2 linked regions of the Caenorhabditis elegans genome follow. The protein of the gene in region 1 purifies or fractionates together with the protein of each later gene. This does not show direct contact. Each region holds a gene or a part of one and is shown on either strand. Other genes may lie near its edges.

What was found.
Region 2: the proteins of hecw-1 (region 1) and dhc-4 fractionate together in Caenorhabditis elegans (co-fractionation; one large-scale study listed by BioGRID). This does not show direct contact.

The regions. Positions count from the first base shown.
Region 1 is NC_003281.10:3,387,952-3,391,873, forward strand, and holds the start of hecw-1 (E3 ubiquitin-protein ligase hecw-1), read right to left. Parts: upstream 1,971-3,922; 5' UTR 1,967-1,970; exon of another isoform or gene 1,943-1,966; intron 1,678-1,942; exon of another isoform or gene 1,581-1,677; intron 933-1,580; 5' UTR 928-932; coding exon 848-927; intron 797-847; coding exon 584-796; intron 1-583. Other genes in the region: elmd-1 (ELMO domain-containing protein C56G7.3), read left to right, coding at 1,971-2,048, 2,673-3,269, 3,730-3,806.
Region 2 is NC_003281.10:10,967,641-10,971,562, forward strand, and holds the start of dhc-4 (Dynein heavy chain linker domain-containing protein), read left to right. Parts: upstream 1-2,303; coding exon 2,304-2,337; intron 2,338-2,704; coding exon 2,705-2,993; intron 2,994-3,037; coding exon 3,038-3,171; intron 3,172-3,380; coding exon 3,381-3,480; intron 3,481-3,536; coding exon 3,537-3,659; intron 3,660-3,922.

The sequences.
Region 1 (3,922 bases):
CAAACATAGTTAAAGCAACCGACACCTCACAGGAGATAATTGAAATTTAAGGCCTGTGAGATGTCGGCCGCTATAACTTTGTCCAGAGTGGAGATATCAGGTTACGTCAATTGACAAAATGCTAACCTTATTTCGGTGCGTATTTTGTTTATTGCCACCTTTTGTCGAACTCCACTCTTCATAGAGTTACAGTGGCCGATACCTCATGAGTTGACTAGGCAACTGAGGCCTGTGAGATGTCGGCCGCTATAACTTTGTCCAGAGTAGAGATATCAGGTTAGTATCAACTGACAAATTGATAGTCTTGATGAGATCTGCATTTTGTTTCTTGACAACTTTTGTCTAACTCCACTCCAAACAAGATTAAAGCAACCGACACCTCACAGGGGATTTTTGAAAATTGAGACCAGTGAGATGTCGGCTGCTATAACTTTGTCCAGAGTCGAGATTTCATAATAGTGTCAATTGACAAAATTATAACCTTATTTAGGTGTGCATTTTGACTCTCGACACATTTTGCCTAACTCCAGTCTGACCAGAGTTTGAGCGCCCGACACCTCATGGGTTGACAATTAGTACTCACCACTGAAATTTAAAATGCCCAATCTTATAAACCCCGACATCAGTGTATTCCAGACCATCAGGAATTCCAAAAACCCATTCCAGTTGACTACTCTCTCCAATCAATTTAATCTTCGGGTATTGAGAGTCAAAATTGACAAAAATTGATTTAACAGGAATACTCGCAATTCCAAGAGAACGTTTGATTTGATTAGAGGAAAATGATAACTGGAATCTGCAAATTTTCGGGGGGTTTTTCGGGTTTTTTTTTCTGAAAATTTCTTACATTTCTTTCAAGGTCAAGTGTTTATAGATCTCATTCAGGCAGACATATCCCAGATGGTGAAATGGGAACTCGTCTCCCATAGTATCTGAAATAAACATTTGGCTTGATCTCCAGGAATCGCAGGATTTTGGAAAAAATACATGACGTCACGTCATCGCAAATCTGCCGCGAGTTTTGTAGATCATACTTCATATGGAATATATGATTTTCCATTTTTCAAAAAATTTTGAAATCCCGGAAAAATAGTGACATAGACGTGAATAAAGAGATGGCGTGGCAATACTAGGAAATCGATTAAAACTGCACGTATTATATTTGTTTTTTTTCTCTTTTTCTCTTCAGCTCTCAGCATCTCTCTCTCTATCGCTATACGTATCACTATGGTAACAAAGAGGCTTTTCCTATTTTCTTTCTTGCTATTTTCTTAACTTTCGCTTAGCTTTTGGCTTTATAGTTTACAGAAAATCGATTTTTTTCAAATTTCTTGATTTTCTATGCAGAAATTGGTTTAGTAATTCGAAACCTCGTCCGATAAATGATTTATAAGTGAACGTATACTAGAAATTGTATATGTCCACGAGAAAGTGCGTTATTAAACGCGCGGGTCTTGCCACGATCGAAACTTTAGCAGCTACCGTACTCGCGCGTACGGTGGTTTTTAAATTTCATCGATTCACAACACTTTAGCAACGAAATGCCTGCGTCTTCTCTAGGCCACTTTTTTGCAATGTTTCCGCCGCCCGGTTAGCTCAGTCGGTAGAGCACCAGACTCTTAATCTGGTTGTCGCGGGTTCGAGCCCCGCATTGGGCTTATGTTTTTTATTTTTTTTAAATAAACACAACTCAACGTTTTATTCGTCCACCACCACTCCTTTACTCTAAACCCCAGCTGTCAGTTTCTACTGGAAGAGGGGTAACATGTACTTAGACTCCAACTACAAAACGTCCTGCGTCTCTCTTCTCTTTTGGTTCATTTTCTCAGCACTCTCTCATCCCAACACACCCTCTCGCACAACACGCCAGTCATTTAGAAACACGCTTTACATCAACTTCATGTACTTTTCACTTTACATCGAATTTTATGTTCTGAAAATTGATTAATTTAAACTTAAAAATTACCAGGATGGAAGCAGAGCCGTTGGAAACGGAGCAAGATGAATGGCGAAAAGAAAGAATGCGAGTTTTGGACGAGTGGTGTGAGGTACGTATTTTTAAAATTATTTTTCAAAAGTGTTTCACGTTTTTAATAGATTTTCTAAAGTTTAATTTTAATTTTTAAATTTTAAATACGAAAAATCATAGAAATTTTAATGTTTCGCTTAAAAATCGATATCAGCGAAAGCTTTTGAATATTTTTTGAGTTTTTGCGAAACAAATTTTTCCCAAAAAAATTCTAGAATTTTGTAAATAAACCAAGAAACAAATAAATCAATTTATCCTACTGTAACCTTAAAGGCGCATGCACTGAAAATGTGGATGGGTCTAACAGCGAAAAATTAATTTTTGACGAATATTGTGTATGCGCCTTTAAATTTACAGTAGGAAAATTAGAGATTAAATTTTTTGAAAGTTTAATTTCAAAAAACTAAAAAAAACTTTTAAACACTCGAATTTTCGTACTGTAAACTTAAAGGCGCATACACAGAAAATGTGGATGGGTATCACAGTGGAAAATGTATTTTATACAAACATTGTGTATGCGCCTTTAAATTTACTGTAGGAAAATTAGAAAATAAATTTTTAGAAGCCTGATGGCAGAAAAAAAGAAAAAAACTAGAATTTCCTTGAAATCTGGAGATTTTTTTGTGAAATTTAAATTTTCCAGATCGAGCTAAAAGGCGCAGACGCTCTCAAAATGGATGTAACCCGTGAGCCAGGCTCCCCCACAGTTGCCGTCGCCCCAGAAACTTCTCTTCAAGACCTCTACCCCCTTCTAATTGCCACGTCATCGTCCAACGCACCACCAAGTGCCACGCCCACCGATGACGTCACAGATCCAGAAGTACAAGTAGTTTCCCGGGAATCAATCGATAATCGATCAACATTCAATCGGATAATTGACGTTTGTCTGTGCAGGCCTGTAAAATCACAAATGGGCCCGAAAGCCTATACGGATAAAACGCTAATTTTAAAACTCGCTCAAATACCCTATGATCATGAAAACGGAACACACTGGCTTCTCCTCTCGGACTACTTTAACAATGTTTCAAGATCCCTGATGACGTCATCAGAATACTCTCACGTCACTAATCCGTCACGTGTTGGCGCGCATTGGGTTACTGTAGGCTTTCAGTCGGCGACACCGCACACGGATTTTCGAGGTTGCGGAGTTCTTGGCCTACTTCAAATGCACACTTTTACGCAGAGAGTACCGGCGAATTTACTTCGAGCAATTGTACTTCTTGCCACTACTGAACCGAATGTTAGTTTTTTATTGGGATTTTTGAAAAAAGTTGTAATAGAGCGCGCTTGCAATTTTGACAGTTTCAATTCGGAAAATTTGCAATTTTTATCAAAAATACGGTGTCCGGTCTCGAAACGACGAATTTGTGTTAAATGAGAAATGGTGTGCGCCTTTAAATAGTACTATAGTTTCAAACTTTTGTTTCAGCAGAATTTTCGCGAATTTTATGTGTTTTTATTGTTACATTTGAGTTTTTTCAATAAAGAATTTTTTATTATCGAAAAACTATTTAAAAAAACGATTAAAATTTTGCAGTAACGAAAGTTTGAAACTACAGTACTTTTTAAAGGCGGACACCCTTTCGTATTTAACAAAAAATTGTCGTGTCGAGACCAGATACCGTATTTTTGGCAAAAAAATGTTTCAATGCAATCGCGCTCCGTGCACTTTTTTAAAAAACCAATAGAAAATTTTCCAGGATTTCCCACTTGCCGTTGTTTCAATCAATATTACGAGTATTTTATTAACACAACTGAAGAAAGGAGCTCTTGATAAGTAAGTCTGCGCAAAGGGCGCTTGCTGACGCGTTTCTCGTGCCACTTGGTTTTTTTTGAAAAGAAAAAAAAACAGCACACAAGAAACATGGCATTTTCCTAAAAGTTTGAAAAAAA
Region 2 (3,922 bases), 7.6 Mb from region 1:
CCCGCTGGGGTTTAGGTTTTTCATTTTTTTGGAAAATGTCATACATTTATTGTAAATCGCCTGATGTAGTAAAAATCTGTTATTGGTCATTGTTTTTTATCACAAATCTTCATTTTCAGGGTCAGGATCGGTCACAGTTCAAAGATTGAGAATCTTCTTCTTGAAATGAGCAGAATCTGCATACGGCCAGATCTTCTTCGCCATTTGCATCTTTGTCGCCACCTTGTAATCATTCGGAGCTCTCTTCTCACTGATCGACAGAGCCGTGAACATCTCCTCAACACCGCCCTTCCCAAGCTCCCACTCGAATCGGCCAAAGAACGATCCACGGACTCTCTTGAAACCGGCAAAGCACTCGCTCCACAGGCCGAAATAATCCGGGCGGCTCTTGTATTCCAGTGTCTCCAGGTACTTGTGAATATTCGCAAATTCCTTGGGACACCCTTTCAACAAAGTTTCCATGGAGCATGCAATCTTCGCGTCCATAATCTCCTTCTCATCGGTCAGTCGGCGCCACGGGAGCCCACAATGAAGCTCGATGAGCATGTAGAGCCACGACCAGAGATCATCGACGCGTCCGATTGTGAACGTTCATGCTGCAGTATCGAGGAGTTCCACGGAAGAGTTGCTCGCCGGCTCGAGCTCTGCGGAGTGCGGCCTCTCCGTTCTCTCGTTTGGCGGTGAATTGGCGGACCATGCCTGAACAAAGTGTGGTGTGATTTTTCAGCCAAAAATACGGTTTCGGGTCTCGACACGACGAACTTGTGTGTCGGGTGCGACAAGGCTTTTAAGATTACTTTAAATCAGGGGTGTGCGGCAAATCTCAAAATTTGCCGAGCTCGGCAAACTCGGAAAAATTTGATACATTTTGATGTTTTTTGGAGCACCAAAACTACTGAATTCTTAACACTCATCTGGTTTCTGAATAAGTTCAGTGTAGTATGTCTGCTTAAGCATCAAAATAACTCAATTTTGTGTCATTTTACTAAATTTTTGGCGAAAAAATCAATGGTTTTAGTCAAAATTGCACTGTCAATTTTTTGACGTGTGCGGCAAATTTCGAAATTTGCCGAGCTCGGCAAACGGCAAATTCGGCATATTCGGCAAATTTGCCGCACACCCCTGCTTTAAATCCCAGTTTTTCATAATCTACGCTTTTTTCGAGAAGAAAAGCAACAGAGAGAAAAACTGAAAGTTACAGTACTCATTTAAAGGCACACACCGTTTCGCCTTGAACAAAATATTGTCGTGTCGAGACCCGATACCGTAGTTTTAAAGCGAAAACACCTTCAAAAAAATTACCATAGTCAATAAGATAGACGTTTTTAGCGTCACTCCCATGAACTCCGGTCACACAATTTCCCGGCTTAATATCCCGATGAGTGAATCCCACTTCATGAATCTGTTTGATAGCGAACAAAGTGGCCATCGCGAGACGAAGAGTCGTCTGCTCACAGAATCTCGGAGTGTTCGCATCCCGTTTATGAGCCATCAGATCCTTCCCAAGAAGTGTCATCACGATGAAACAATACGATGTTCGATCGCCAGCATCCATCAATCTTGCACAAAACGGCAGTGGAGCCAGTGATTTGAGCACGTGAGCCTCCAGCTTCAGAATACCTCCGTCACTCACGTCCCCCTCGACCTTCATTGCGGCGTACGTCTGGAAGCGGGTCAGGTCTCGGACTTTGAACACTGCACCCATACCACCTTCGCCGAGTTTTTCAACGATTTTCCAACGCTTTGCGATTATCTGAAATTGAGGGAAATTGTGAATTTCCTGCTTCACAGAAACTCACTTTTCCTTCTTTGATCGCTTGAATTTCTTCCATACTGATTCTGATCACGAAATCGATTGGAACTGATTTGCTAATAGAGAAATGAATCCTTTTGGAATTTTGAAATACATTTTTTCAAAATTCAATTTTTTTAATTAAAAAAAGTTGATTTTTATATATTTTTCACGTTAAAAGTTCAAAGCGCAATCAAAACTAAAATAAAATGAATGCATATAAAACACATTTTTTATTGAAAAAAGTAAGATCTATAAAATGTACTGGATACCCCAGTTTTTTTTTCAAATTTATTAATCAGATCAAGGGTAGGCGGCAATTGCCGTTTTGCCGGTTTGCCGATTTGCCGGAAATTTTCACATTTAATGTATTACTATTATAATTAAAATTCCATGTGCTTATTCCTAATTTTCCCACTAACCTGATTTCCGGTCCAACGTTTCTGCTTGAACGCCTCTGAGCCCGGGGGTGCTCCACAGGTCTCATTTTGCTCCGAGCCGCCCGTTACTAATGCCGAATCTACTGGAAAAAGAGCATTTCAAGCGTAAGTACTCTTTACTATGGAACTTTTGAGTTTTCGGCAACTGGGAAATGAAAACAAATTGTCGATTAAAAATTATTTGGAGTTATCACAAATTTGGCATTTTAGAAATCTCAGATTTTTGCACAAGTTTTTTTTTAATTTTTGGATTTTTTGCAACTTGAAAATTTAAAAGTTGGCAAAAAACTTCGTGAATAAACGTTTTAAAAGTTTCTGAAACTGGAAGTTTTGGCAGAAGCTCGGTAAACCAAAATTTGCCGATATTCAAACTGTAATAGCAAAAATCTTGAAATTTTTAAGATTTTCGACATGTCTACATCTTGAAAATTTCAAAATTCCAACAATTTTAAAAAAACCCAAAATTTTTCAGTCCGAAAGCACACCCGCTACCTGACAATCCACCGAGTCGTTGAGCAGAAAAGTTGGCATCAACTTGCCTACGAGGACCGGCTCCGGCGGGAAAGCCGAAAAATCCCAAAAATCTGTCGTAAACAATTCCTAAAATGGCACGTTGAGCAACAGGAGGCCAAGAAAAAATTCCGGCGGCTCCGCGAAAAAAATCGCGATGAGAGCATTTATGTGGCCAAGTTATGGTACTACGTGCTCAAGAAGCATCCATTGAAGCCACGTGTTGAATGGAGTTTTCAGAGGGTTCATAAGTAAGTCAAAGTATTCGAGAGGAGTACAAAATCGAGTTTTCCAGGTTGAGCCCGAAAAACGAGAGAATTGCTCAAGAACTGGAGGAGCTCATGGATTGTGCGGAAAGATACGCGTTGATAGAAAACGTGGCAGATGGGTATCAGAAAAGAGTAAAAGATGAGCTCGCAAGGTTGAATAGTGAGTTGACATAGTGGTTTTTGCTACATGGCCTAGAAAACGCAAAACTCGGCCAGCAATTTATCTTTGATTTATCATGTCACATCTTTCTGAAACATTTTGAACATTGACTTGCGATTGTTTTAAGGGCGATGGCCGAGTTTTTTATATCGCGGCCACGTAGAACCAATTGCTCTGAAAGGCTTGAAGCTGTTGAACTTTATTTTCAGAAATCGAAAAATACCATCATCACGTCAAAAACAACCGTGAAATTCTTCTTCGATCCCAGTCATTAGCCGCAATGAAAATTCGCATATTTTTCGAAAATCGGTATTTAAAATTCTAAAATTCTAAAATTTATCGGCAACTCGAAAAATCAATTTCAGAAAAGGATTAATATTCGAAGTCAACGAGCTAATTGACCCGGAAGTCGGAAATATTCCAATCAAAAAATTCCGAGAGGTTACTCTGACGAAGGTCCTGGAATTCTCACAGGAAATCAATATGAAGTGAGTTGCTAGTAAGGCTCCCATGGGCCTGACGCCTGCTTGAAATCTACCCGCCTCACTCCGGCCTTTCGCCTATTTTCTGCATTTTGACGTGAATTTTCTGATTCCTATCAATTTTTGAAAATCAAATGTTCTTGTGAACTTCAGCATAAGGCGCGTATTGAGGCGAGAGGCAGGCGTAGGTCGCCTTAAGGTCTGGCAGACAGGTGTTTTAAAACCTTCATGGAAGCTCTAGTTGCCAGGCATCGCCGAAAGTTGCACAT